4 linked regions of the Danio rerio genome follow. The protein of the gene in region 3 interacts with the protein of the main gene of each other region in a biochemical or structural test. Links are inferred from orthologs where the notes say so. Each region holds a gene or a part of one and is shown on either strand. Other genes may lie near its edges.

Region 1 (7,960 bases), on a different chromosome or scaffold from region 3:
TTCATGAGGGCAGGAGTTTAGCACCACGAAAACATCATAAGGATACAATAAATGGTCTACACGAGACTTGTGTAATACTTCAATTACTCTATCTATAGTATTAGTAATCTTTATAGTGTTAAGATACCTTTAGATAACAGATCAAACTATACAACTTTTGATCCTAATAGTTATACAGACCCATTTTTATGATCTTTTTTGTCTTCATGTTGATAGCTGTAGTCATTGATCTCATTGAAGATCACTGCAGAAAGTCAGTATAATAATAATGAGCAAATAATGATTGTTCCTAAGCTGGACTCATTGCTAATTCATCTCTCTCTCTCTCCCCTCATCAGATGCTGACGCAGAAGCTGCAGAATTCTCCTCCTCTCATTCGATCAGCGTTTACAGGCTTGTTTTTATTATTCCCTTGTCACAGCAATGGCCAAAGGTGCTGATGAAATTTGCTAATAATTTCTGTTTCACAATCTCAGAGCTGCCAAGGCGCAATGCTTTATTTCTCACAGATTTTATTTAGAGCTCAGAGATTAATGCGAAATAGACAGCATGAGAAATCCAATACGAAAGAAACGGCAAGCACAGCACATGGCCTACACACGGCTTTAAAGACATACATTTCATACACATGCCTAAGAAATATAAATACAGTTAAAGTCAGAATTATTAGCCATGCTGTTTATTTTTTACCTAATTTCTGTTTAACGGGGAGAATATTTTTTCAACACATTTTTAGACATTGTAGTTTTAATAACTCATTTATAATAATAACTGATTCGTTTTATCTTTGCCATGATGACAGTAAATTATATTTGACTAGATATTTTTCAAAACACTTTTATACAGCTTAAAGTGACATTTAAAGAAATAACTAGATTAATTATGTTAACAAGGCAGGTTAACATAATTTGGCAAAAAAATATATAGCTTAAAGGGGCTGTTCACACTTTATATTAAGTGTCGCTTATACCTGTGAACTTACATGGTAACTAGATGTAAAAGTAGTATGTAACTACAGTGTATGTGCACACTGGTACACAGTATTTACTTGTGTATTACTGGTGTAACTACACACATGTAACAACCTAGTTAATAGTATGTGTAAGTTCAAACGTGTAACTGGACATTGGTAACAACAATAAGAAAGTACACATCTGTACCAAGAATTACATAAGTGCATTGTGTAACAACAATATTCTTGCAGGGGTTTTCCCACTTCAACACCTGTTTGCATGACATGTATTTCAACACTGTATTAAAATAAGAATGGCAGAACTAACGTTGCATCAGAAGGTTTCACTTATTAATATCAGGGTAATTACAGGGTAAATCCTCAGGAACTGTCCACTGAATATAAAGTATAAAATGGTCACAAATTACTGTGTAATATATAAAACCTAAACGTTTGTGCAACTGTTTACCAACAGCACACTTCTGCCAAAAAATGTATGTGTAAATATAAATATACAAATACCTCATGTTTATATGTTGTTTTAAGGTAAATTGTAGAATCACATCCGTAATTCACATTTAAGGGCTAGTTTGCCAAAGATTGTGTTAGTAATGTCCTGTTACACATTTGAACTTAAACTATTCACTAGGTTGTTACATGTGTGTAATTACACCAATATTACACAAGTCAATACTATGTACCAGTGTGTACATACAATGTAACTACATACTACTTACACATCTAGTTAATTGTAAATTTACAGGAATAAGCAACACTTAAAATAAAGTTAGACCTAACTTTATTTCCCTTGCTCTTTTTAAATAACTTAATGTACTGTGAAGTATTGTCATGATAAAACTTTAATACGATACCTTAAAAAATTGTATTAAAAAAAATCGTGATACTAAAATAATGCTATATTAAATAATACAATTGTATGCATGTCTTCATTTCTTAATTTGCCAGAACTAAAACCTCAAGCATTAACCCACTGGTTACAAATGTGAGTGTGTGTTTGTGTGTGTTTTTTTTTTTGTTTTTTGTTTTTTTGTTCTAAAAGCTCTTTAAGTCTTGTTGTTGGCTTTTAAAGAGAAATAAAAATAAATTTTAAAATAAAAAAATAGATTGTTTTAATTAAATTGTTTGAATGTCACATGATCAGGTGAGTTACAATAGCTCCTGTGAGTTGCAAATTCTTAAACGGTCATATATTTGCCCAGTAGTATAATATGTTGTTTTATTGTTAGCAATTTTTCAGTTGGAAACAACTGAACTGCAATGCAATTCTGACTATGATCTTATACTTTGTCATAATTTGTGACGTATAAAACCTAATTCAAGTATAAAATTTGGGATCATACTTATTTTGGGGTTAAGAATTTTTACTGCTGGTTTGATCAGGCCAATGTACCCAGTGAAAAAAATAGTAAACAAATAAAACACGCATATTTGTTATTTTCATCCACGTTTTTATCCACGTAACGTTCTAATAAATTGAACCAATAATAATGACAGTTTTTAGCATTAGAGAAGAAAATAAATAACCTAACTTGCATAGTTAAAACATTAGAGTGAAGTCAATAATTAAAATAAAAATATATAATTATACAAGACTATTATATGGGATCAAAACAGCTTCAAGAACAAAGAAAGATTTTTTAGGCAAGTGCAACAGTAATACTGTTATTTATTGCTGATTAAAATTAAAAAAAATTAATAAGCTAAGAATTTTTTTCCTCAACTTGTCTACTTTTACTTAAGACATTTCCCATTGTGTTTCAAAGATGAGTATTTAGATGTTATTTTGGCATATTTAGCCTGTGTGAGATTGTTTCTGCATGAGTGTCGTGAGGAAAAGCGTCTTCCTCATCCACCATAGACCGAAACAGTCCTGTGACGTTTGAAGTCCAGAAAAGGAACCAAAAACAATGAAGCTTAAAGAACACATTTATGCACCAAAAAAACAAAACATCAATGTCTTCTTTTCCCCATCAGATCAGGGTGCTATAGACAATATGTCCAATTGCCATTAGAGTCCCAATATGTAAGCATTATATTGTCTGTAGTAGATGTGGCACCATGCTATAGTTCAATTCACTTCAATTCAGCTTTATTTGTATAGCCCTTTTACAATGTAGATTGTGTCAAAGCAGCTTCACATGAATGGTCATAATAACTGGATCAGGGTAGTTCAGTTTTTAGTGTTTAAGTTCAGTTCAGTTTAGCTCAGTTCAGTGTGGTTTAAAATCATTACTGACAGTCCAAACATTGAAGAGCAAATTCATCGATGCGTAGCTCTACCGATCCTGAACCATGCAAGCCAGTGGCGACAGCGGAGAGGGAAAAAAAACTTCGCTGATAGGAGAGTGAAGAAAAAAAAAACCTTGAGAGAAACCAGACTCAGTTCGGCAAGACCATTTTAATTTCTCCGCTGGCCAAAAGTCTTGTGCAGAGCTGCAGTCTCAGCGGTGGAGGCTGGAGGCTGGCCTCAGCGAAGACTCGTCGTCTATAGTTGAGCTTCTTATGATTACACATTGAATTTTACAATGTTTTTGGGTCCTTTACTGGACTTTGAAGGCGTACTCACACTATGTACAGTTGCCTTAAAACGGGCCAAAGCACGCCTCCTGTCTCCCCCCTACTGTGTCCCCGACGGCCCACACTCACATTATATTCGGGCCTGGGCACGCTTGAGTGATCGATCATGCGCTGTTCCGTAGAGAACTCCATTTTCTCAGCACAGTGGAGATTTCTTTAGGTATATTGTTTTAGTCGTTTGGGATGCAGTGACATGCTGTCAAATATTTCGCAGAACAGGTCAGCCACTTTTGACACTCGTAAACGATCATAAAGTCCTAATGCTGCAGGAATTAGGAGGTTTGCTAAAGGTGCAGCTGTCGTGTAGTGAGGGGTTTGCGTCGTTAATTATATATGACTCTGCGTTCATTGAACAGTAAGAATGATTATAAAATCCATATGAAATAATCATGTAAAAGTCACGCCTCGTCTTCAGTTTTGGGGTCCAAGTGAACCCCGCTCTGGCACAGCCAGGACAGGGCCAGCCAAGTGAACAGTACCTGAGCCTGATTCAGAGCACTCACACTTCTCAAACGATCCAGGAAATGGGCTTGGGCACGGTTCGGATAGCATAGTGTGAGTACGCCATGAATGTCTCATGACTGTTTCTGCCTATGGAGGATAAGGGAGCTCTCAGATTTAATCTAAAATATCTTAATTTGTGTTCTGAAGATGAACAAAGGTCTCGAGGGATTGGAAAGACACGAGGAATAATTACGTGAATAATTAATAACAGAATTGTAATTTTTGAATGAAAAACAAAACATTAGTATAAAACTGACATTATGATGAGCAGACTTCGCATAAAAATTATATATATAGCAAGTACCTGAGGTTTGAGAGATCACCCTTGGCCGACATGGATGATGAAGGATGTGAGTGAAGGTATGAAGGTGGGCGGGAGGCCTGGGGGCCGCGGCGGATCAGTTTGCCAGTGACAGGATCATAGGTCCGCATTTCGGGTGCTGGCAGCGGCTTAGGCTGAACCTGAGGGGCCTGGAAGGGAGGCCTCGGGGCAGACCCATGGATGTCTAGAAATGCACCGGGACTGTTGCTCCTGAATGAAACAAATAATAATAATAAACATGAACATAAAGATCAACTGCTATGACAACCAGTTATGTGGGGTACAGACTACTTTATTTTAACATGATGCATATGTTGTGGTGATTAATAAATGACAGAATGTAGTACATAAACATTTCTAATGTTGTTATATTTTCTATATTGATTATTTTTCATCATCATTATTATTATTTATAATTACAAATGTGCTTTTAATTATATTTATAATGCTGACATATGCTACTTATAAGTTAAGCTACTTCTTTATGTAGTAATAGTTTTATATAAAGTTTTGTATCTACATTTTATTTTTTGTTTAATTGGGTATTTTCTGTAGCTTGACATTTGAAAAATGTTGTACACAAATCTTTATGATTTGTACTAGATGTTCTTTCCAAGTGTTTGTATCTGCAAAGTGCGATCTCTGTGTTTTTCCTCAAAAGGTGTGAAAAGCAAACCTCCCATCTTCTCTAAATTGAACTGATGCCACCTGATGTGTCTCATGGGTCACGTTGACATGACCTAGCCTTCACCCTGATCTAACTTGGGTGGAAGGAAACATCTTGCAAGATGTAAATTAGTGACATAATGGTAAGGTTTATTTGACTTTACTGGTCAGCATTAACATCTGCTACTAACATGATCTCCGATATTACATGAGATCTTGCTCTCTTGTTTTACTATACAGCCAAGGCTGTAGTCTTTCATTTTATTTGTATAAGCTGCCTAAACACAGACCTCAAAACTTTCTAAACAAACATGCAGACTCAGCATACATAAATTAATATGTTAACTTGTTTTTACGCTCGGCCAAAACACGTTACCTGAGCACAAGTGGGCTAATAGATTCAAAAGACCGACTCATTAAATAAAAGTCTACACAAGATGAGTTATAAATCGTGTTTAACAACTACAGAGAGATGAGATCCAGCAGCAAATTCGGGACAAACTGGCCGACGTTCAGCTGCTCTCAGCCGGACAAGTGTGCTCAGAGCTCCTGCTGACTGCTTGGAGCTCAGACACGAGAATATGCAGAAGCAGCATTCAGTGCATGTATGGTCACATAATGTGCGTTTTCTGTTCAGAAAGGCTAGATGAAATGCCAGTGCGAACGTAGATCGTTTTCATTCTAATACGCCATCTTAAAACAAAAACGTATTGGAGTAAAAGGGCCCTCAAAAAAGCTCTTCAGCAAGTTGCCTTACAACTTTAAGTTGAGTCAACTTTTTTATAGTGTATAATGAGAAGCACGATATTATGATATACCTCGCAAAGCAGATCATGGAGACATTTTAATCATCCTCCATCAAAAATCGTCATATTGCACACACATAGTTCAGTTCCGATTGAAGAAATATGAAATCTATGTGTAAACAAGCAGATGGAAAAAATCTTGCTTGACTCATGGCCAGCGCTCACTTTACATCAACGTTCTGCTAAGCATCTCCCTTACTGTGCCATGAGGAAGTTTTAGGGAAACTGATTTATTTAATATTACTTTAATATTGCAAGTGTCAGTGCAAGCTGAAAAATAATAAGTTGTTGAATGCTTCATGTTCTATTCATGAGCGTTGTAGTGATGAGTGAACAACACAATGAAAATTTCAGCAGTCACAACAGAAAATACTGACAATACCTACTTCATACTGAAAGCCACAAGTGAACATAAAGGATGGAAAAAGAAGTAGAAGGCTGTAAAAGATAAATACCTGTGTGATTTGTTATAGTCCTCTTTGAGAGGAAAGAGTTGCTCCTCTACTCGCTCCCAGCGCTCCAAACAAGCCCACAACCAATCAGGATTTACCACATGGAGATGTTTACAACCCAGAGCTTGACGAACTTTCTCTGTACCTGACAGAGACACAAACAAAACACTATTTAGATAAACCACACTGCAATGTGAAATATGATCGGTCGGTGTTTTTCTCTCCACTATCAGCAGAGCAGAAGGCAGCAGCACAGCAAAAGAAAATTGCAATCTGAATTGAATGTGTTGCAATAAAAAAACCTACTAAAAAAGTCAAAAAACATTTTTCTATTTCTTTTTTCAATCAAAGTTTATCATATAAATAAAGTTTTAATGCTAAATTGCACAGGCTACAGTAGCTATGTTTTCATCCACCTATTTTTATGTGCATTTTGAATATGCGCATAAAAAAAATAGTGCGTCTTTGTCTCAGAGGCATGAATAAAAGTAAGTCAATGAAATGGCAGAGGTGGCCTATTGCATGAGAATTTGTATCCACCGTCGTCGGTTAGCATGCATAGTGAGGAAAATTGCCTGCAGTTGAACTTGTTGCAAAAGTAAAAGCGAAACGACCAAAACATATGGTGTCATGGCGAACATGAACAGTTGTTGAGTAAAACACCACAGTAAACTAACAGCGAATGGAGACGTACTGACGTTAATCGACTATGACTATACTATAACATGTAAAATGGGAACATAAAAAGAACATTAAAAAAAACAACTCATGGAAACACCTTAACCATATTCTCGTCTTATTCAGATTAAGGCAAATCATTAAACTACTGATGTCCAAATAACCACAGTCAGTAATAGAGATCTCATTATGATCTTTACATACACAACAGACAGTGAGCAACAGCTAAATGCTACAGTATATGCAATTATCCTTGTCACATAATTTTAATATCCGAAATCTTTAATATCTGAAATCTCTTGCACATCATTAAAACCTTTCATAGTATCTTTTATGATGAAATTTAAATACTGGAATCCACTGGCAAATACATCTTGACAAAGTGATTAGGTTCATAAAGTATTATCAAATTATGGAAGATTTGCATTGGTTTTAGTCTTTGCAATTCCCCTACACGAAGATGCAACTGAATGCATCAAACCATTAAAAGAAGTGTACAAATGGTGTATAAATAATATGTAAGGATTGAAGGTGAAATGATTTGAAGTGATAATGGAAGTTTGTGAAAACAAGCGTGGCAAAACTAATAATTTTGTGCTTAATCCTGCTTCATTTGACTTAGCTGAAATCTCTTTTAGTCATTGTTGTTGTTGTTTTTTTTTGCACCCACCAAAAGGGTACAATTGTGTGTAATCACAATCACTGTGTGATCAAGTGATCAGAGTGACCCACGGCGCATGCCTTGCGCATTGCCGTACATTTATACTTCAGCTGCTGTTTGTGTTGCTCTGCAATAACACTTCCAAAACGCTAGCTAGCAGTAGGTTTTATTGTTCCTCTGTGTTGAGTTTCTTCGTAGGTGTTTTGTTTTTTTCTGAACGCTATCTTAATGTATAAGTAGCTCAAACTCGCTCATTCAGAGGTGGGAATTGGCGGACATGCAACAACTTTAATTAAAAGGTAAACACAAAACAAAAGTTTC
Region 2 (6,817 bases), on a different chromosome or scaffold from region 3:
AGAGGAAGATGCTTACCATCGCAAAAAAAAGTTGAACTTCTAGACATGATAAAGGAAGGTAGAAGTTGCGCGGTTGTAGGGCGTTATTATGAAATGAATATTTGGTTAATCACATTTGATTTTACACCCTTAAAACATCTAATCATTGAAAAAATCAAGCTACTACTTTGAGAATTTTACCTAATGCGAGATATTTTCAGAACCCAACTCCCGTGACTGACTAGTGACCACTGTGTGTGTGTGTCTTTATATATTTAAAGAACAATGTGTGTGTGTATATATATGTGTGGGGCAATAGTTCTCAGTATTGACTTTAAAAAATCATGAATATTTTTTTATTTAATTCTTCACATCAATGAATTTATATAACTAATCTTATTTTATATAACCAATTTCTATAACTAATCATTTTTTAATGGTTTTAAAATACATATTTTACATTAACTTCTTTGGTAACGCTACAATAAGGTTCCGTTTGTTAACATTAGTCAACTGCTTTAGTAAAAATGGAACATTTTAATGCTCATAAATTTCAACATAAGTACGGTTCATTTCAATGTGTTAGTATGTGAATAAGTAAAGATTTTTATTTAACGTGATCTAACATAATACGTTTAGCTTAGTAATAAATTTAGCCCTTTGGTAATCTTAGCGCATTAATGTTAACCAATTGACCATATTGTGAAGCGTTACTTTGAATTAATTGTAATACTTTCACTTATGATTTAACAAATATTTTTTGTTGGTTTTAAGCGATGCTAATATTGACTTTGCAACTTCTTTTTAATTGTAATTACCTGTTTATTCTTAGCAGCAGTCAAACCTTCATTGCACTATTATTGTAATTCCAGCTCTCTTTGATCCAGCCTTGGATCTTTCTGTCAGCAGCCTGAGTCTTTAACCAATCAGGCGGCGTCTCATTAGCTGACCTGAAGCAGCTCAATTCTGATTGATTGTGCTGAAATCTCAGCCTCTATTGTTACCGATTTAGCGATCAAAAGATAGTTTGAAGCCAGACTTTGAGCTGGATTGGTCATTAACTCAGCAGGAAGTTGAGTCTCTTTTTAATACCCACTCGCTGAGAGACTGTAAATGAATGAAGCTGTTGATTGCAAAAACATGGCATTTGAAGTAAATGAGATCTGTTGTGTGCTGTTGACTGAATCCATTTCATGCCATTTTGTTTTCCAGCCGGCCCAGACAAAGAACATTCTAGCAAACACACCTGATGGACTATGATCAGCTTTGACATTCACAAAAAAAGTTTAAGAATAGAAATAAACTGACCTTAGGTTTTTAGGAAAGCGTGTCTTGTGTCCTCAGTTTGTAATCAAGTGTTTTCTGTGTTTTCTGTATTCTTGTCTTTCTTGCAGTCTGCATTTGACCACCTTTTGCCTGCAGCACAAACCCACAGTGGTGGCGTGTGTTTGTATTCACCTGGCCTGCAAGTGGTCCAATTGGGAGATTCCAGTCTCTTCAGATGGGAAACATTGGTGGGAATATGTGGACCGGGCTGTGACTCTACAGCTGCTTGATGGTCAGTCATAAAAGAGGGGAGGGGGGTGATTATTTCTTTGGTTAAATCCATGTTGATCGATCTCTTGTTTGAGGTATTTAATTTCTCAGGCCACTTTAATTTTTTTAACCAATTTCTCAGTTCATTTTAATTGGCATTTATCATATTATCTATTTTGCTAAGTACTAAACGTTGTGCTTGTCTTTGTAGACCTGACTCATGAGTTTCTCCAGATACTGGAAAAAACACCAAGCAGATTGAAAAGAATCCGAAACTGGCGGGTTTGTATTAATATTTTTGTTTATATGAAAGAAATATGCAAAGTCAGAAACATCACTTTGGGTGCTTTCACACCTACACTTTTGATTCGGAACCGGTCTCATTTGCCCAGTTAGCGCGGTTCGTTTGGCATATGTGAACAGGGCAATCGCTCTCTGTTCCAAGTAATCGCTCCGAGAGCGCTTGAATGAGGTGGTCTCGGCTCGATTAAAACGAACCCTGGAGTGGTTCGATTGCAGTGAGAAAGCGATCCGATCCGAGCGCGGTTATATTACAGTGTTTTATGGATATGTAATAGACTTACAGCTCTATAAAGAGAGAATTATGAGTAGGGCGGGAAGTTTCGCGAGTCTCCGGATGCCCGCAAATGAGTGATGATCTCCCGGTAATCTTGCGTCTCCCTCCCGGTCCTCAAATAGGCATCGTCGCGCACCCTTCTCACCCCTCCCCACCCCATCTCTCCTCAGACACGTCACGCACGCGCACCCTGTCAATCACCACCAAACCACCACCTCTCCTGACAGCTGAGCGGGACGCTGCAAAATAAACCCTGACACTCTGACCAATGTAAGGAGAGTTTACTCGCACGTGACTTGTTTTAGCTCTTTTGGTCCAATTAGAAACTTTGCAGTGTGAAAGCGAACCGCTCCAAGAGCAAAGAGCAACAATGTAACATTTGTAATCTCTGTTTCGGAACAACTGAATCGATTCACAGGTGTGAAAGCACCCTTACTCTCGTGAGGCACTTTAATAGGTAGACATTGCTAGTACTAGATTGTGATCCTCTTTTGTTGCTAGAACGGCATTAATTCTTCATTGTGTAGGTTCACAAAAAGTGAAGAATTTATGTGAATTTTCTGTTCACTATATCAGCCTTCTACAAACCTCGGTTGTTTAGAGCAGTTATTTGAGTAAAGTCTTTGCACACTGAAGTTCGAAATTTTGAGATGTGTTTTTTTCGTATTAATATCTGAAAAAATCATCACGTAAACAAACTTTGCTCACCGAGTCTGATGCGTATTAATAAATCAATTCATTACAAAACAACATAAAACATTTCAGAGTCAGTTCAAGTAGTGATACTTTGTTCTTCTCCTTAGTAGAAAATAAGAGAAATAGGCTACAGATTATCTAATTCTGCATAGAGGAAGAGAGTTCAGCTCATTATCAAAGAGCTGTGCCGGAGTATCCCCAAATGCAAAGCATATTTCAAGACATCGCTGGAATTTTGGTACATTGCTTGTGATACTTCACACATTCGCGCATGTAAACAAATCCTGAACAGAGACTCGCAGTACCTTGAGACATTATAATAGATGACGACCACCGTTGATGTTTCGAAGCAATGGAACGAAAGCGGACTATGCTTTCTATTATAAGGTCTGTGGGCAGTACGTCAAATGTATGAATACACATAGCAGCAGATGTTAGCTAGCACAAGGTATTTGTATCATTTTGTATTGAGCTTTTCACTTCTACGGTGGCTCTGAACTGTCGAAACACCTCAAATCGCTTTTCAAATGCACAAAATGGAAATATCGAACCTAGTTCGAAATTTTTTTTTTATGATAGACAAAAGTTTTGGAGGCAGTGTGTCAATACAATTCACACAACGTGAGGTCAAATTTATTTTTTAATGTGCAAAAATTACGGATAAATTTTGGATTCGGTGTGCAATAACCTTTACTGTTGTCTTTTTATCAACTCTAACCAGTCTGAATTTTCCTCTGCCATCAGCAAGTTATTTTGGTCCACTTAATACAGGTTATCTGTAGGTTCTTAAGTCGCAATGTCTTAAATTTCAAAAACTAAATTTAAGGCTCTAAAAAGTCTTAAATTCACTGAAATATTGTGTTGTATGTTTTAAATAATTTTAAACAGGTCAGTTTTTTTCTTTCCAAATTAAGCTACCCAATTGGGCCGACATCCATCCAATCACCAGAAATCCATCCTAATAAAATCAGGGAAAGACAACTAAAAACAATTACACAGTTCCTCGTGATAATATTAGAAATACATTAGGTTGAATAGAAGTTATACTTGATCAGTTAGTACCAAAAGCCAACAAATATATATATTTCTGATAATTTATGTAATTGCCTCCACAATAAATGTGCTTTTAGTAATGTTAAACATGTCATAAAAGAAAGAGATATAATATTAAAAGTAGTGTGTCAACTAGAGTTTTCTTGTTTTAGCACATTTAAAGTACATCGCTAAAAAGAAATTAAATCCTTTTTTCTTTTTTTTTTTGTGGCTAGCAAAAAATTAAATTGACCCAATAAGGATAATAGGAATAATCCTAATAAAAGGAAGTGTTTTAGCCCTGTGTAATTCTACAATTTCATTCATAATGGTTGTAGCAGGGTCTTAAGAAGTCAGTTATGACAGTTTGACTTGAAGAAACCTGCAGAAACCCTGTAATAGTCCTTTTTTTTTTTTTTTTTGGACCCATTCTCTGTAAGCACCAAAGACAGCGATATGTGAAAATACCAGTAGGCACCAACAGTCATTTCACTTTCAGCCACTTAAATCACATTTCTTTCTCATCCTAATTTTCAGTTTGACCTTCAGCAGATCATCTTCATGTCAACATGCCTAAATGCATGTAGTTGGTGCCATGTATAGGCTGATATTTGTGTTAATGAGTACCTAACAAAAGTGGCCGACGAGTGTATCTTTGGACATTTTTGTGACACATTTGATTGCAAACTCAAGTAATGGTCCAATTATTTTCGTTCTCGTTTTAGGCCACACAAGCTGCCAAGAAACCAAAACTTGACAACCAATCACTAGACGGATCTTTCCAATCTCTCAACCAGGACACCTCGTTGATGAGTAGCATGTGTGACCTGGGAGCGGGCATGTATTCTGACCCGTCCACCTCTTTCCCGTTGGACGGGTCTTCACTGTCTCTTAATGGCCTGTCGAACTTGCAGAGTTCTGCTTTCGGCTTTCCTGCACCAATCTCTCAAACTGCCGATGCTTTTCTTGCACTCCAGGCGGCTCCGACAAGCAAACATGGACATAGCTCTGCCACTCTGGCTCCTCAGAAACTCACTCTAGAGAAATACCGTGAAAAACAAACCGAATTAGAACAGAGACGCAGACATGAAGAAGAGGACGGTGATCAACATCGAAAGCACGGCCATTTGACATCCGAGCCGTCTACATCTATCAGGCTGAAGTATAATCAACAGCAGGTACTGGAGCGACCGTCGAAGAGCGGGTCACTCAAACGACGCCACCCTTCCTCATCAGAGAATGGTTCCGCTAGTCAAGAAGAGCTGAAAATGAAGATCAAGGTATCGTCTGACAGTAGCGGCAGTAGTAAGAGCCGTCACAGTCCACTCTCCAGCCGAGAGAAGCATCGTGAACATTCATCCCACAAAACAGCGAGACACGATTCGTCTCACTCGCATGGTAGTCATCACCACCACCACCATCACCACCATCATTCATCCAAATCTCACAGATCTTCCAAGAGCCACTCCTCCTCCGCCTCCATATCTGTCAATCAAGCGATAGGCCAACCGCAGTTGGCGAAGATTGACAGGAGGATGGGGGAGGGGCACGGTTCTGAGCCCAATGCTGCTTTAATAAATAATGGTCCACATATGGATTATGAAGACACTTTTAATATGCTTGATTCCCTATTAAATGCACAAAACTTCCAAATTTAAAGGAAAAAAAATCTGACGTTTTTACATAAACCCTCAAAAAAACGTACGATTGTCGTTCTCGTGCTAATTTTATGCAAGGATCACTCGTCCGTTAAATGTCATAGTCTCTTTGATTGGTTTTATCACTGAAGTTAAAGAAAAAAAAACTACAAGGTGTGAAGGTTGTGTCGACGTTTTAGTTTGAGCAACAATTGTGAATTTACAATTTTAAGACTTTCGTAGAGCTTGCTAAAAAGAGATTGCGAAAAGCCTTCGGCGATCTTAAAGTGTTCTAGTTGGAAAAGCGCAATGTGATAAAGTGAGTATGTATGTTCTTCATGCTTGATTCACAATTTTTTCGTTTATCAAAGGGATGAAAATAGAAACGTGTGACTGTTTACAAAAGGAAGGTGCAGATATCTGTTCACTGTTATTTGTATCAATATATATCTATGTTTAATTCTATTTCACGATTGCTCAGGTTTGGAGGTTCTTAAAGGTAAAAACTTCACGAAACTTCACAAATTTTAGCTGGAATTTCGCAAAAATGCCTGTACACAATTCCATTATATAGCTTTCCATATATTGTAAATTTTATTGTACTGTAAAGTATCCGTTTTACATTATCCTTTGTTAGAAAGCCGCACCGATGACATCAAGGGTCTTTTTGCGTAGTAATTATGTCTTACGACTTTAAAGACATTTATGCTTGTAATTCGTTTCTTTTTTTTGACCCTTTACAGTAGTGGAAAGCAAAATGTCATTTTTCACTGAGAAATTCTTTGAGTTTTGTTTCGTGTGCCAGGTTTGAACGGTCAAGATCGCGCCCCAGACTTATCAGCTGATCTATTTCTGTTCATCGTGGTGTGCGTCGAGCCTTAAAACTGTATGATAGAGATTTTAGCAGCCTGTGTGTGTGTGTGTAAATGTCCCATTTCCTATGATCTCAGTATTTAAGATTTACGTTTCCATCTTCTCTCCTCATTGATTCTGATTGGTTAATAAGTGGGCTCCCATTCAGATCAAGCAGCAGTTAACTTTGTTTTTCTGTCCGGTGCTCTTAAAACGGCATTGGGACCATTTTGAAGGTTTTGGATGGAGGGTAAAGAGGAGAAATTCACTCTAGATGTGGCCTAGACTCCTGTTGTGCTGTCAAAAAACCTCCTCTCACCAGATACCAAAGGTTTGTGCCTCAGTGTTTGCCCACCGTTGGAACTGTATGAAACTTTTAGGTTTCTGTCTTTTATTATTTTATTGGAATGCCACAGTTCTTTATAATAGTGTTAGATCTGAGTCTGTATGGATGATGTTTTGGATTGTCTAATAAACATCCAAGAAAATTGCCTATCAAAATGGTTTG
Region 3 (8,749 bases):
GTGCATTGAGTTCATATTTCTGTTTCATTTTTTACACTACAGTTTGTTTTAAACCAGTGTCTTTCTCTAAAATGACAGTGAGAGGTTGCCTGTCTGTCAGTGTTTGTGGTATTTTTATTATTGCACTGATGAATAATGTGCCATATATAAAACACTGTTCTCTAATTATGTAGTAATATATGATTTCTTACTCATGCATGGGGAAATTTGCCTTTATACATGCAAAAAGATGATGTTCAGTGCATGTAAACACTGAGGTTTCCACATTTGTTCATGCCACATAAACACGTTGAATTTGTTGTCTATATATATAATATACATCAAATGATTTTTCAATGAAATCTGACTTTTTACATTTGTAATGACACTGTTTTGTAGTATTTTATGTTCTAATAAGTGTATAGCTCAGGGGTGTCCAATCTCAGTCGTGGAGGGCCGGTGCCCTGCTGAGTTTAGCTCCAACTTGCCTCAACACACCTGCCAGGAAGTTTCTAGTGTATCGAGCTAGAGCTTGATTAGCTGCTTTAGGTGTGTTTGATAAGGGTTGGAGATGAACTCTCCAGGACACCGGCCCTCCAGGACTGAGTTTGGACACCCCTGGTATAGATTAAATTAAAATGGGTTTTTTGAGTATGTTACAACACTTATTATGGGTTGTTTTTGTCATCTGTGAAAGACTGGAGGATTAATATAAAATCTAATGTGAGTAAATATTGGTTTGGATCAATAAAATTGATACCGCTCTTGTCTTAAAGTGTCATAAGGTGCTATTAAAATGTTCCAGGTACTGTACATACCAGATTAAAAATTATATGAAAATATGTAAGAAGTTCAATTTTGCGTCTGCATTAATTCGTAGTAAATGTACGCATTTCATTTATTTATATATATATATATATATATATATATATATATATATATATATATATATATATATATATATATATATATATGTATATATGTATGACTTAGGCTATAATTCACACAGGCTCACCAAAATTAGGCAATAGAAGATTGGAGAAATGTTGCCTGATCTGATGAGTCTGATCTGGCATCAACAACATGAAAGCATGGATCCATCCTCCCTTGTATCAACAATTCAGGCTGCTGGTGGTGGTGTAATGGTGTGGGGGATATTTTCTTGGCACACTTAGTGGCCCAATAGTACCAATTGAGCATTGTGTCAACACCACAACCTACCTGAGTATTGCTGCTGACCATGTCCATCCCTTTATGACCACAGTGTACTCATCTTCTGATGGCTACTACCAGCGGGATAACGCACCATGTCAAAAAGCGAGAATAACCGGAATTCCACCGGGTGCTCCGGTTTCCCCCATAGTCCAAGCACATGATACAGGTGAATTGGGTAAAACTAAATTGGCCGTAGTGTATGTGTGTGAATGAGTGTGTATGGATGTTTCCCAGTGATTGGTTTTAGCTGGAATGGCATCCATTGTGTAGAACATATGCTGGATAAGTTGGTGGTTCATTCCGCTGTGAAGACCCTGGATAAATAAAGAGATGAATGAAGCCCCTGTAGTGTAATTTTGTTTATTCTATGTTTTGTAATTTATTTATTTTTATTACTATTTTATTTGTTGATTGTCTTTATTATTTGCGCTCAGTTCTGTATATTTAGATGAAAATATTCATTTGAATTTCGCTGCATTGTCTTTGTGTTTTACGTCAATAAAAAAAAGTAATATGTCATTGTGAAATTAGTTTCATGTAAATTGACTCTCCTGCATGTATTTTATTTGTATTAGTATCTTTTAATGCTTTATTTATGTTATTATTATTATCACTTAGCGGTATGATACATGAATGTGCTCCAAGCAGGTTTTGCATCTCGTTTATATACACTATAAGGAGCAGCTACGCTAATTATTATCTTTATTCTCTATTTTCACCTGGGGATACTCATCCCAAGGCCCTCAGACTATGCAGTCACTGATTCGATCCAAGACCAGCGATGACATGATCACAAGTTTTCCATAATCCTGGACCAGGCTGTATCCTGGCTGCTGTGGTGGTCATTGACGAGTGGAGAGCATGGGACTGATTCCTGTGACTCTTCAGGGACTGACGAGTGTTCGCCGAGGTCCAGCCTCCGGCGCCTTGACTGCAGTTTGTCGTGCCCAACTGAGTCTGGTTTCTCTCAAGTTTTTTTAATTCTTCACTTTTCGCCAATTGGTGAAGTTATTTCCTCGCTGCTGTGGCCACTGGCTTACATGTTTTAGAATTTGTAGAGCTGCGCATTGATGGATTTGCTCTTCAGTGTTTAGACCAGGGGTCACCAAACTTGTTCCTGGAGGGCCGGTGTCCTGCAGATTTTATCTCCAACCCTAATCAAACACACCTGAACAAGCTAATCAAGGTCTTACAAGGTATACTTGAAACATCCAGGCAGGTGTGTTGAGGCAAGATGGAGCTAAATCCTGCAGGGACACCGGCCCTCCAGGACCAGGATTGATGACCCCTGGTTTAGACTCTTAGTAGTGTTTATTAAACCACACTAAACTGAGCTAAACTGAACTGAACTTAAACACTGAAAACTGAACTGATACTATTTCAATTTACTATGATCTTCTATGTGAAGCTGCTTTGACACAATCTACATTGTAAAAGCACTATACAAATAAAGGTGAATTGAATTATTATTTAGTTTTTGTTAATATTATTATTACGAACTATGTTGTTAATTATATGGGTAACACTTTACAATAAGGTTGCATAAGTTAATGTTAGTAAATGTATTTACTAACATAAACAATCAGTGAACAATACATTTATTACAGTGTTTATCAATGTTAGTCAACATAAGTTAATGAAAATACACTTGTTCATTGTTAGTTTAACCTACAGTGCAATAACTAATGATCTATAAATGCAGTACAAGTAGTGTTCAGAATTAGCTCACGCCAGTAAATACATTAACTAATGAAACCTTATTGTAAAGTGTTACCTATATAATTAACAATATAGCACATAATAATACTAACAAACATAAATAATAAAAACAAAGCATTACATGATACTAATACAATTTAAAACACATGCAGGGGAGTCAATTTACGTAAAGCTAATTTCACAACGACATAATATTAAACCTTTTTTACTGCTGTATAATATATGTTTAACAAAGGAAGTTGAAATGACTGTTTATCATTTGAAGGTTTGAAAAAAGTGGAAATAATAATAAACAAATAAATAGCTTTACGTAATCATTGTTTGTCTTCCGGTCGGCAGGTGGTGGTAACGTGTTTTTGCGCCGCTGAATCCGTCCTGGGAACCGCAGAGGAACAGCAAGGATGCAGCGCGACAAAACCGGAAGCTCTGGCGGCGGTGAAAAGTACGAATATTTTACTAATTTTATACACTTAACGTTCATTTACACTGTTAAATCTCGCATTTTATTACATTTTAATATACAAAGCACACATTTGTACTGCTATAACATAGCTAGTCTCCAAAGCGACGCTGTAAATGTGATGTTTGTGTGGGGGTCTGGATTTGTGTCTTTGTCGGGCCGAAAGAAAACGCGAAGTGATCCACACACTCAAAACAGCGTCATAAAAGACCAAATAGTTCTTTAAAACAAGCTTAATTATAACATAAATCAGTAAATAGCGGATTTGTAGTTGTACTTAGCGTGATATGTGTAGGCGGAATGAAGTAATATCGCCTTGTTGTAAAACATGAGTGTGTATTTGTGTTGTTTGTGTTCAGGCCGGACAGAGAGACCGCCATCATGTCCAAATACTACGATGGCGTCGAGTTTCCCTTCTGTGATGAATTCTCCAAATATGAGAAGCTGGCGAAGATCGGACAGGGCACCTTTGGGTGAGTATTTGATGTTTGTGTGTGTAAATATACCATAATGTTTATCATCCAGTAACAGACCATTTTCACATGGCGTCCGGTTTCACTCCATGCAGTGTGTCGTTACTTCCGCCTACATAGAAATCCCCATATGGCCCGTTTCCACTGAGTGGTACGGTTCGGTTCGGTTTGGTACGCTTTTATTACAAAAGGTGGCGGTAGGACATAATTCATTCAAATGAAGAAACTGAACAAAACATTAATATTTCAGTAAATAATAAATGATGAAACTGGTTGCATTTGTAGACATAATGGAAATGTTGCAAACACATGCTTTCCCTGATAAACCATAGCTTATTCATGTTCTTAACAACTTAATCATTTTCAAACTCAGAAAACAATTCAGTATTGAAAGAGACACATTTGGACACATGGCCAATACCAATAATAGTGTTAAATCAGATCGTGCAATCTTAAAGGGCCATGAAACCCCCTCGTTTCAGCAGGGTGTTTTCACACCTCTACTTTGGAAAAAGTCAGAAAAGTGGGCGTGTCCAGCTCTGTTTAGGGGGGAGTGTCGGAGGAACTAAAGTGGGATGGTGTGGGAGTGTCTATTTGGACACGCGCGAGTTTCAGTCAAAATACACACAGACAAAGTGATGGTGTTTAACCTACATGGACATCTGTAGTCAAATTATTTGCCAAGTTATTAAATGTTGGACTTTAACTGCAGTTTGGCTCTTTCATTCAGGGAATTCATTCATGCCCCTCGCGACAAACGAGATATTTGATTCGAGGATCTGCTCTAAGCGTGTATTTTTCCTGCAATGTTTGATACCGCACGGCGAATGAGAGAAAAAAACCCTCCGCATTTCCCGGAAACTTAGATGCACACAGCAGGTAGCGTCAGAAAGCCGCGTGTGTTATTCCGGCCACAAAATGCGGTGCTAACATGTTTGCACTCAGTGCAATAGTTAACTTAATTCAATAAGAACAAACTGAATAAACAAAGAGCACTGGTCGCTCACTTACCAAATCTGTAGAGACAGGACAATCACCAGCAACTAGAGCCGCGTCTTTATGGAGAGAATACTACAAGCGAATCCGGATCTCAGCGTTTGCAGATGAGAACAGCTCTCAGGTAAACAATAATCCTCCTTAAACACGCAAGTTATTGTTGTCGAGCGTCTCGTACACTAATCCACGCGTGACTCCAGCTGAGCTCTCACAGAGAGAAAATGAAAACAAAACTTAACTGCAGCAAACTATAAAAGCAACACTTCACGCTTGTTTTGCCAACGCAACTTGGCGTCTCTGTGGTGTAAACACGGTGACACTAATGGATATTAATGAAGTTGCACAATAGAGCGCGCTGATTGGTTTGACCCAAGCCTTACTCATGCATTAATGCATCACACTGTAAGACGTAATAAGACTCACTCTAGCACAGACGCCCAGTCTGCACGCTGAAATACACGCTATTATGTCATGACCGTGACGCAGCTTCAAAAATTAGTTTCAAACAGGAAGTACGAATTTGCTTGAAATAACGCAAAAACAACCAATTTACACTTTTTAGTGAAATATAGGTGTCCTGATAGTATTTTTAGCAGTGTGGGACACATATACGACTGTCAACACCTCAAAAAATGTGTTTCGTGACCCTTTAATATTTTTATTTTTAAATTTCCTAGAGAAGTGTCCCATTCATTTAAAGGTGAACCGGAACTAAAAATACACTGCGTTGCAGAAAGGAGGAAGTGAACTGACATAATTGGGATAAGGGTCTGTTCACTGTCTGAAATGATGAGTGTATTGTCTGACTTTCTTATTTTGTAATGTGAGAGCATCCATTTGTAACACTTGAAGGGATACAGCTGCTTCTGGGCATGCACACAATAATATTGTGGCTTTTTTTGTAGGGGTAGGTCATTCTTTTCCTTTTGTTTTCAGCTGTACAAAACTCTCCATTATGTTGGTTAAAGTTACAAACTAGTATTTCCTATGTTCTTTTGATAAATTTATCATGAATAAAATGTTCCCAGATGAAAGTGAAACCACCAAACTGCAGTTAAAAGTCGATAATTTATAAATGAAATGCTTGAAATGACATGAAACTCCGAAGGAAATGTATATAGCGTGGTGACACAATGATGTTACTTAATCTATGTACTATAACATGTAAAACGGGATCACGAAAAGAACATTCAAAAAGCAGCTCAATGTAAACACCTCAATCGTATTATTGTCTTACTCAGATTAAGGCAAATACTTCAACTAATCATGTCCATATAGACATGGTCAGTGAGGGGTTTAATGATTTGATTTGTTTTTTTCTCTTTATAGAGAGGTCTTCAAGGCTAAACACCGACAGACGGGGAAGAAAGTGGCCTTGAAGAAAGTTCTGATGGAGAATGAGAAAGAAGGGGTAAGAAAATGCACCTCTATAATCTATTAAGTAAGGCAAGGCAAGTTTGTTTATATAGCACATTTCATACACAGTGGCAATTCAAAGTGCTTTACATAAACAAGAATAAAAGAAAAAAGTCAAATAAAAACAAATAATAAAAATGCGTCAAAACATAAAAACAGGTAAAATATGACATAAAAGAATGAAGAAGAAGAGAAAAACATGATAGTGCAATCTGTCGGACGCAGCACAGTGCTCATTCAGTAAAGGCACAGCTAAACAGATGTGTTTTCAGTCTTGATTTGAATGTGCCTAATGTTGGAGCACATCTGATCATTTCTTAGTTATATTGTTGTATAAGGCACTGTTTGCATCTAGTAATAATATATATTAGTAAGTCATTGTAATCACATATTAATGACATTTAATACGGGAAATAAAAATAATCTAAATAATTTTGAGCTTTTTTCACTTGCATCCACTTCCAGAGGCTGTTAAAAATGCAATAACATTAATAGTGTACACACTTATGTGGTCAAATGTCTTTAACTAGCCTAAAAAACCTCCATATACAGACCTCATTTATAAAAAAAAATACATGACATAGTGTTCATGCACACAAATCAGATGGGATTTAACCTCTGCCATCTGTAATTGTAGCTTTGGTTTGAATATGGAGAGATGTAAAAAATCACAAAGTTGTCTTAACAATACTGACCTCACTCCTATTTTAATAAATAAAATTGTTTTGTTTAAATGCACCAAAATACAGGCCTCCCACATTTCTTGAAAATACATGAACAATTTTAGACATTTGGATTCAAGGCCTGGAATGTACTTAAAAACAAAACCAGGTCCTTGAAAGTGCTTGAGATAAAATATAGTGGTTAACAATTGTATAGTGGTTAAAAATTGTACTGTGCTGTCGACGCCAGTGGTGTAGTGGTTAATGCGCTGACACATGCACACATGACTCACGGCAACCCAAGTTCGATTTCGCCTCGCGGTCCTTTGCTGATCCTTCCCCTCTCTCTGCTCGCAATGCTTTCCTGTCAATTCTCTCTACTTTCCTATTCAAATAAACGTGAAAACCCTGAAAAAAAAATATTTAATAAAAACAGTTGTATGGTGCTGATGTCAAAAACTGGAAAAAGAGAGAAATCCTTCATTTAAAAGTTGCATTTTAATCTTGTAGAAGAATCATTTTTATCAGTGTTTCAGAAATTATATTTGGATATTAACAGTATTGAATTCAACTCATTTTAACTCATTTCAAGTGTTTTAAACATGACTGTTTTAATGACACCTCAGTAACATCATCATTACTATGATATTTGAATGTAAAGTATAAGTTAAATGTTATGTACAGTAGGGGCTTTCATGGTACTACATATGTTGGTGGTGTGAATTACAACAGTGCTTGATCTGAAATCAATAGTGCTTTAAAAAGTCATTGAAAGTCCTTGAGAGTGCTGTTTATGAAACAGTGGAAGCCCTGAAAATATATTGCCTTGCCTTTTCACTGAGAAACAGATACAAATATTTATTTTCAAGGGCATGTACACATTTATGCTGAGCACACTGCATTATTGTAAAAAGTCTGTATTATTAAATGTTTATAAATGTGTTTACTTTTATTGTATGTTCTAAAGTTGTATTATTCTGAATAGTTTTTACCATGAGACTACCCAATGCATGTGAGATGGCAATAAATAAATATACAATATTAACCTGTAAGTGTATCTGTGCTCTTCTCTTCAGTTTCCCATCACGGCTCTGAGGGAGATCAAGATCTTGCAGCTTCTCAAACACGAGAATGTGGTCAACCTCATCGAGATCTGCAGAACAAAGGGTGAGGGTGAGGATAAAGTCCTGTTTAATACACTTTCCATTCTGTCGCTGCTCTCATTACTGCTGTGTTTTACAGAAAACAGGTTGAACGTGATAGTAAGTGAAAACTGGGTTAGTCAGAGAGAGCAAAACACTATCAGGCTGCATTTACACTGAATAGTTCAAGTGACTCAATTCTATTTTTTTTTCCTCCCATGTGGCACAGATCGGATATGGCTCATGTACATGCTAGCAGTAATAAAATCACATATATTCCGATTTGCTCAAATCAGATTCAGGCCTTGTACATATTTGTAAATTTATCTGTTATGAATCGGATCCATGCCCTCTGCAGTGTAAGCAGGTAGATCAGATTTTCACCTCTCAATGCAAGTCGCGCATCATTAAAAACCATAGTGAATGATGTCAACTCTGACGCTGTCATTTCAGAACAGACTTCAGCAGAGTTGCAAACCTTCAATCTCATTCACGAGCACTAACCAAGCTTTTATATTGTCATGTAGCACTGGTATTTACGCATGTTAACGAGAGAGAGATATTAAACTGTTGGATAAATCACGCGTGGACATTACATTAAAATGCCTACTGGTTTAAAAAGGCCTATGTAGCATCCTTTGCAAAAGGAATGGGATGCATTAGAAAATAATAAATTACATGAAATCC
Region 4 (7,960 bases), on a different chromosome or scaffold from region 3:
ATAAAAATAAAATGTACTCTTGCTCTTTTTTTTGTTGTTGTTTTATGCGTCACATTAGAATGAGTAAACCGATAGGAAGCTACTTATGTCTGGAGATGCTATAGCTACTGGAAACACCACTAGGTTATATGCAGAAGTATGCAAAAGGACTCTTATTTTTTTATGTATGCTGTTACAATTATTGCAGCATTTAAGGTCTGTTTTCTTTAAAAACCAACGATCTCCACTGCCTGAGTGATATACAATATATAAATAGGTCTCAGAATGTACAAGCACTGCATAAATGACATTTTTCCCCACCATGTCTTTAAAATATGAACGTTTATTTTGGAGCTTCTGCACTAGCCTGCTTATCCTTATGGGCGCGTATGTGTAAAAGGCTTTGCATATCAACGCTGAAGTCTATTTAACTGATTTTATTTTTATTACTTTACAACATCAATGCTGTAAAAGAAACCAAAACTGAAAAAAGTCAAATCAATTATTCACTATAAGTTTATCAGTATGGGGAGGAACACTAGCTGTGCATATATCGCTAGAAGGCAAGTTGAATGTGGAGCACGGCTGTGCAGTTAATCGAAAATCCGATTTCGATTTCAATTTTGGCTTCTAACAATTATGAAAAACCATTAATCGGGATAAGCAATTATTGCATCATATAGCGCCACCTTTTGTTGCTTGACCGCATGTTTCTGTGCGTGTGATTCTGTTCAGTCAGAAGCATGTGGTCAGCATTCGGTCTCATTCGCCCACTGAGACGTGCAGAGCGCACACACCTTAAGTCATCTTAATGTGAGCGTTTAATGGTCAAATAGGTGTCAAAACGTGGTGTTCAGTAATTATTCATATTAACCGTCATTTGTGTAATAAACAAACGAGTTGAAAATCAAAAGACACGTGAAAGAGAAACCATTAAAGTGACCGTGCGCAATATCCCTGATGCCACCTGTTTTTATGATTATTAATCAAACAAAAGGAGAAGCTTAAGTGTTTAGCTTAAAAGTGTTTTTCTTACGGTGAAGATGCTTAAATCACAGTTTATTTCATATTTTTATACTATTGTATTTATTTCGCTTTCCTTTGCAGGGTGGAAAAGAACTATATATATATATATATATATATAGTTGCAGATTCAAAAAAATATATAGCTTAAGGGGGCTAATATTATTGACCTTAAAATTGGTTTCAAAAAATTTAAACCTACTTTTATTCTAGCCAAAATAAAACAAATAAGCCTCTCCAGAAGAAAAAATATTAGAGGAAATACTGTTAAAATTCCTTGCTCTTTTAAACATCTTTTGGGAAATATAAAATAAAAAAAAATCTCAGGAGCGGTAATAATTTAGAATTCAACTAATAATCGTTTTGAATAATCGTAAATACAGTTTTCACCAAAATAATCATGATTATGATTTTTCCCAAAATCGAGCAGCCCTAATGTGGAGCTGTTTGTAGAGTACAAAAATGTTATCAAGAGGGAGTTGTTATGGAGAGGATTTGCAGATCAAATAGGATTTCATTCTTGAAACAACCTTGTTTTGTTTGCCAGTTAACAAATACTGTGTGATTGTTTTAACAGGTGCATAAATGCTCTTTTTCTATGTAACAAGCAAGTGTCAAACACACAAAGTTGCACTGCGCTTGTGTACTAGGGTATTTCTGTTTTTCATTAAGCTCTATCTAACGTCAAAGAGTGATTTTGCTCCCAAGTGAAAATGTTGACGATAAGCGCAAACAAAAAAGGTCCCAGTGTGCACAAGCCTTAAAGAGAACAAGATGATGATTGTATGGCTCTGGGGATGAAGTACCTGGCGCTGGGGGTGGATTTCCCTGACGCTGGCTGTGGTGTGCTTTTCCCTGAGGAGCTTTGAGGACTGGGCTCCATCTTTAATCTCTTGGCTGCTGGAGTTTCTGAGCTCGGCACAGTTGTCTGTCGCTTACCTGAGATAGAAGTGCAGAAACATGTTTATATCTAAGAGTTTATATCTAAGAGTTTTGCCACAACTTCTGAACTAAAAAGAAAGACAAAATTAAATAAGGAAATACTAGGCAAATAGTATAAGCTTTTGATTTAATAACGTGTTAAAGTGGCACTCAAACCAAAACTGAACACGGTCATCAATTAGTCATATACACAGCATCATAGTTAAACATTACTTTGTGAACACAAATTTACATTTTAGAAACAGAATGATGGAAGCACTTAATGGAAGCTCCTGAACCACACAAAGTGAGCACGACAGTAATCCTTATACCCCCAGCAGACGTAAGAAAATGCATTTTGTTAAAACTATAACCATTACTTTTAGTTGACATTACCATAAATATGATGTGAAGTTTCACAAATTGTCACATGATTGTTACAGAGCATCAAATCTCAAATGACAATCAATTGGAAGCAATAGTTAATAGAAAAAAAAAATAAAAAATTTATTTGATAAAAAAAAATATATATATAATATTTTTCCATAGTCATGTTAACTTTGTCTCTATTCTTTCTATTATTATTGCTTATATACACACACACACACACACACACACACACACACACACTGCTTACACACACACACACACACAATGCTGATGTAAGGGAGACTAAATAAGAAAACTAACATTGTTGGGGGATTGTTTTAACTGCAAGTTTGATTCAAAATTCTAATTTAAAAGTAAGTACTACTAATTTTTTTTATTCTTAAGCTGCCTTTCCACAGCACATGAGAAGCGACAGACTGGAAGTCATTCATTTTCAATGGAGAGTAGTCCAAGAGCTGCATGGAGTTCCGATATGCAGAAAATTTGGATCTGATCTGAACTCCTGCGACTACACCGTCTGTGACCAGCCGACCGGATGTGATGTATTCCAGTGTTGTCCAAGCAGGTCCATGCGCGCGAGATGACAAATAGGAGTTTATTTCGTTATTTCGTTTAGAATCTGAAAAAAAGTCTAATAAGTCTAATAAAATTCTATTCATAAAAGAGTAATAAAAAATATTGTAATTTTTAATCTTGTCTCCACATTCCCTGATGAGTAATTAATTAATATGATGAGTTTATAGTATTCATTCATTCATTCATTCAACTAAAGGCTCTTGCTTTTGCACTCCATTATTTTAGACACCACCGCTGGAATCCACTTACCATGGTAAATGACAAAACAAAATATTCAATGTGACTGACACAAGGGGGTGTATTTTGTGCAGTGGAAAGGTGGCTTTAGTATTTTTTATTATATCTACTACCACAACGTCATAAAAATTAATACATTTGAATATAATTTTTAATAACTGAGTTTTGTTGAGTGTACCTTGCTCCAGTTTGCTGGCAGCAGCACGGAGAGTGTTGGAAGTGGCAGCATTATCAATAGATGGTGTGCCTGGTCGACTACCTGTTCTTGAACTGCCTGCTGAGCCACGGCCACCTCCTCGCTTAGGAGGTGTGCGCTTCTTCTGTGACAGACAACAAGAAAAAAGCACTGTACCATATTCACATGAAATGTCATCAAAACACAACATCCATATTTCTTTTTCAGACACAGACAGACAGACAGACAGACAGACAGACAGACAGACAGACAGACACACAGACACACAGACACACAGACAGACACACACACACACAGACACACACACACACAGACACACACACACACACACACACACACACACACACACACACACACACACACACACACACACACACACACACACACACACACACACACACACACACACACACACACACACACACACACAAATATAGGCCATTACCACCATAAACAGTGCTGACGCTGCCTCTCCTTCAATATCACTGTCCTCAGAGCTGTCGGACTCGCCGCTGCTGTCTGAAATACATAAGGATTTTAATATCAAATAGTACCTTTTATCTTAAAAATAATAAATTGTATTGTAGAACATATATTTATTATCTGAAACAAGCTGCAACTTATATTATACAGTAACTTACATAATGCAAATAGCATTAAACAAGCTAAATTTGCTCAAAATATGCAGAGATTTGAATTTGTCTCAAATGATAAAGGCACATTAGCATTAATAAGCATTTCTTAAAATTAAATTTTTTTTGGCTTGAATAAAATCACAAACATACTTTATTGAATTCCCCAAAAAAACATTTTTATACTTATTTTTTTTACTTATATTTATTTTTCTCTTCTGAATACGGTTACATTAAAGGACCTTTATTTGAAGTTAAAGGAACTGAAATACATTTTGTAAACAATTTGTTATATTTAGGACTAGTAGTTGCCAATTTTTTGTGTTATTTCTGAATTAAATTGTAAAATATCACTTCAACACCAAAACAGCTAATCTGTGTGTTTTTTTCCTCCTAACAATACAATTCTGAGCTGGTGCAACTTATATTGTGAGGTTCTAATTTTCTAGGAATTGCTAAAATCCTAAAACAGACACAAACCATTCAGAAAAGCAACTCAGATATGCTTCCTAACCATATTTTAAGTATTTAAATTTAAATTTACATTTTAAAAAGTACTTCATCAGTCATATTTTTTTGCCTCTTTTATTTGCCTATTTAAGGGGTTTTCTTTTTTTTGTAATTTTACAGAAATATTCATCTATAAAACATAAATGAAAAGTTTTTTGTCATTTAAAAATTATACATTTTAAAAAAAGGCCTTTCTTTATTTAAGTAAGACTTTTAAGTTACACGCCTTGATTTGAACAGAAAAAAAACATCACATACAACTATAATATGAGGTTGCTCGTACCTTTCTTTTTCTTCTTTTCCACCTGCACTGGCGTCTTCTTCCCATCTTCCTCCTCTTCCTCTTCCTTATTCTCTTCTTCATTCTTGGTCTCTTCCTCACTCTCTTCCTCACTTTCAGACATTTCATCAATCCCTGAAAGAAAACCATCAGTGCTTCACAAAGCCATCTCAAATCATATATCAGGACTAGACAAAGCTCATTCCTGCAAAAAGAATAAAACCTTCTAAATCCCCAACCTTTAGGAACATCCTCTCCCTTATTTGGCTTGGTCTTCTCTGGTTCTTCTTCTTCAGAACTGGAGGAAAAAAGAATGGCGATGATGATGATTAAGACTGCAAAACAATGACCATATGAATATTTGTGTCACTAAAATCACCTGCTCTCATCAGACATGTAGTCCACCTCCAAACCCTCAAAGTCACCATCATCACTGTCCTCAAATCCTTCTAAGTCGCTGCCCTTTTTCTTCTTCTTCTTTCCCTTGCCTTTGGCACCTTTTTCCTTTTTAGCTTTTGCCTTGGCTTCATCATCTGCAATAAAAGAAGATATTTTTTTAAACTGCCCCTATTATGCCATGTAAAATGTTTTTCACATTAATTTAAAGATCTCCTACAATTAGTTTACAAGCAGCCACATTCAAAAACACTCACAAAAGGCCTCTATTTTCTCAAAATATGCTTAAATTTAAATTGATCTAATTTCTCACAGAGCTCAAATCATTCATTTGATTTATCGTTTCTAAACCCCTCTTTCCAAGAGCCTCTTCTGATTGGTCACATGGTCTAGTACCCTGTGACAGGCTACTGCTTGCACAGGTAACACATTTAACAGAACGTTGAAAATTGTATACAGTAGACTATGCTGATAGATTTTACTAATAGTATTGAGCCAGAAACACTCTTTATTATTTATAGAAAGTAGAGATGTGGGATTAATTGAAATCGTATCAAAATCCTGATTTGAACACACGTGATATCTAAATCGCTTTACAGATTTTCCCACATTATGCTGTTTGAACCAATCATAATGTAGCACGCCTAAACAGAGCGCGAGAACAGGTGATTGAGATTAATGACAAATAAACTGCATAACAGGGATTATGAGTTCAGCACAGGAGGGCTTGGTGCCCAAAAAAAGTCAACATCTGGGGTGTGGGATTACTTTGGATAGAGGAAGACTGATGTATCACAGAATCAGGTAATTCATAAGACCTCTCAGTCAAATATTGCATCTTATAGCATATGGAAAGGGGAAGGCATGTCACTTGTATGTCAGTTCTTGTTACGTGACTCGCAGTGCAGCATTCTCAAAAGTGGAGATGTTTTCAACTGCGTGTGCATGGAATACATGCTTCACTCCCAATATACGTGTAAGCTGGGCACCTCCATTGGAAATAACTAACTTATGCAAAAGATGCAATATGTGAATGGCCCATTTCACGGCAGCATCACAAAGAGATTTAAGAGCTATGCATGGCAAAAATAAATTTGTGGACACATACAAAAGTACACATAACTACTTCTGATATGTGGTCAAACAGAACATCGTTTGAAAGCGTGTGTGCGCACACGCACGTACGCACAAACACTAGTCTATTTATTTGTTTTATCTAGAGACAATTTATTAGACCTTCAGTAGGTGTTTTTTTTTTTTTTTTGCTTTATGTCTGTTTTGGAGACGTTACAGTCTTTATAAAGAAAGATTTAATAAATTTCCTTTGGAATTACATTTCACATTCACACTGTATAACGCCTGTGTGTGTCAAAAACGTGATTAAAATTGAAATCGCAATATTGTTCAAGAAAATCATGACAGGTTTCTTTCAGCCGTGATAAAAAGCTATAATAGAGTGAAATCCCCACAAAATTTGCTTGTGTAAGTGAAATACCCATGAGGGTTTACTTTATTGTGTCCTGCATATTTAGTTCAGGGTGAAAATTAGATAGAAAACTGAAACAATGTCTTCTTTATGAGGTTGGTTTGATTTCATTTTTAAGATGCAGATTTAAGACAATTTAAATACTAATTAAGGCCTTATCTTTGCACTATGGAATTTAAGACTTTAAAAATCTGTGGACACCTTGTGTATGCAGCTTCTTCACTTATGATTGTGTGAAACTTGATTTAGCCCTACATTGCACTTCATACTCATGATTTCTCTCAGAAAAAATAACAACAAAGCGCAGATATGAAGCAAACAGTAGATTTAGCTGTTTTGGTGACATTGACAAAAAACGCTTCTAGACATGATGTTGATATGAACAAGCCACTGTGTTGGAGGGTCAAAATGCTGTTGGCAGGCAGCCCATGAAAAAGATAGACTGGTAACACAAGCATGTTGCATATCAATATGTATTGATAAGAGAAATTAAATTGGAATGAGTGGTTTAGAACTCACTCTTTTGTTAAGAGACAACTAAAGTAGTCAACATCTGAAACAAATCAAAACCTTTCATCAAAGTTGTCCTAAAATTATTCAACAACAACCATTCAAAATCAAATGTTGATTACTGAATATTCATTATGTACTTTGATCTTTAAATAAAAAGCATGATAAGGCACACTCATGTTCCTCTCTGACCCTTTTGCTCACCCTCACCATCTCCATTGCTGCCATCACTTTCATCGCTGCTCATTTCCAAATCTTCCTCGAGGTCATGAATTCGCAGGTCACCTCCTCTGCCTCCCTTCTTCTTTTTCTTTGCGCCTTTTTCTCCTTCCTCCTCATCCTCATCTCCTCCTCCTCGCTCCTGTTCTCTTAAACGCCGCTGGAGCATGATACTGAAGTGGTTCACCACTTTGTTTCTCCTAAATGAAAAATAATGAGCTGCAATCATCAAACTGCAAGCTTGTAATGCAGAAGAGAAATCAGGTTTGCCCTCACCTGCCCCACTCTTCCTCTGCTTCCTCAGCTGTGAGCGTGCGGTGTTTGGCCTGTGGTGTGAAGTTATACCAGGCGTGCACGGGAAATGCCTCAAAAGCACCATCGGCACTCTGTGTGAAGATGTAGTAGGACGCATTCTCTGTAACGCCCCCTTTTTTTATACCCTTAAATCTGAGTGGCAAAGAGAAAGAAAACAGCAGTAAAACAAGATCTAAACAAATAATAACACACTTTAAATGCAATTAAACACCAACAACAAATCCGAAATCAGCTCATTGTGTCAGCACGACTGGTTGCGATGGTTTTAATTAGTCACGAGCACATTTTAT

The links.
Region 1: of the proteins of cdk9 (region 3) and ctdp1, one has a biochemical effect on the other in vitro, tested with the Homo sapiens proteins (3 studies listed by BioGRID). The link is inferred for Danio rerio from reciprocal best matches to the Homo sapiens genes CDK9 and CTDP1.
Region 2: the proteins of cdk9 (region 3) and ccnt2b form a complex in vitro, tested with the Homo sapiens proteins (4 studies listed by BioGRID, with this or other methods). The link is inferred for Danio rerio from reciprocal best matches to the Homo sapiens genes CDK9 and CCNT2.
Region 4: the proteins of cdk9 (region 3) and gtf2f1 form a complex in vitro, tested with the Homo sapiens proteins (2 studies listed by BioGRID, with this or other methods). The link is inferred for Danio rerio from reciprocal best matches to the Homo sapiens genes CDK9 and GTF2F1.

What each region holds. Positions count from the first base shown.
Region 1 is NC_133194.1:12,889,603-12,897,562, forward strand, and holds part of ctdp1 (RNA polymerase II subunit A C-terminal domain phosphatase), read right to left. Parts: intron 6,446-7,960; coding exon 6,304-6,445; intron 4,587-6,303; coding exon 4,359-4,586; intron 1-4,358. UniProt on the Homo sapiens protein: Processively dephosphorylates 'Ser-2' and 'Ser-5' of the heptad repeats YSPTSPS in the C-terminal domain of the largest RNA polymerase II subunit. This promotes the activity of RNA polymerase II.
Region 2 is NC_133197.1:11,829,696-11,836,512, forward strand, and holds the end of ccnt2b (cyclin-T2b), read left to right. Parts: intron 1-1,373; coding exon 1,374-1,537; intron 1,538-1,726; coding exon 1,727-1,797; coding exon of another isoform or gene 1,798-1,839; intron 1,840-2,510; coding exon of another isoform or gene 2,511-2,516; exon of another isoform or gene 2,517-4,545; coding exon 4,546-5,478; 3' UTR 5,479-6,810; downstream 6,811-6,817. UniProt on the Homo sapiens protein: Regulatory subunit of the cyclin-dependent kinase pair (CDK9/cyclin T) complex, also called positive transcription elongation factor B (P-TEFB), which is proposed to facilitate the transition from abortive to production elongation by phosphorylating the CTD (carboxy-terminal domain) of the large subunit of RNA polymerase II (RNAP II).
Region 3 is NC_133196.1:7,394,448-7,403,196, forward strand, and holds the start of cdk9 (cyclin-dependent kinase 9), read left to right. Parts: upstream 1-3,291; 5' UTR 3,292-3,314; coding exon 3,315-3,355; intron 3,356-3,732; coding exon 3,733-3,846; exon of another isoform or gene 3,847-3,997; intron 3,998-5,821; exon of another isoform or gene 5,822-6,171; coding exon 6,172-6,253; exon of another isoform or gene 6,254-6,288; intron 6,289-6,579; exon of another isoform or gene 6,580-7,149; intron 7,150-7,356; exon of another isoform or gene 7,357-7,996; coding exon 7,997-8,087; coding exon of another isoform or gene 8,088-8,093; intron 8,094-8,749. UniProt on the Homo sapiens protein: Protein kinase involved in the regulation of transcription.
Region 4 is NC_133178.1:32,752,005-32,759,964, forward strand, and holds part of gtf2f1 (general transcription factor IIF subunit 1), read right to left. Parts: intron 7,803-7,960; coding exon 7,632-7,802; intron 7,556-7,631; coding exon 7,341-7,555; intron 5,278-7,340; coding exon 5,124-5,277; intron 5,043-5,123; coding exon 4,984-5,042; intron 4,880-4,983; coding exon 4,748-4,879; intron 3,842-4,747; coding exon 3,768-3,841; intron 3,447-3,767; coding exon 3,305-3,446; intron 1,942-3,304; coding exon 1,809-1,941; intron 1-1,808. UniProt on the Homo sapiens protein: TFIIF is a general transcription initiation factor that binds to RNA polymerase II and helps to recruit it to the initiation complex in collaboration with TFIIB. It promotes transcription elongation.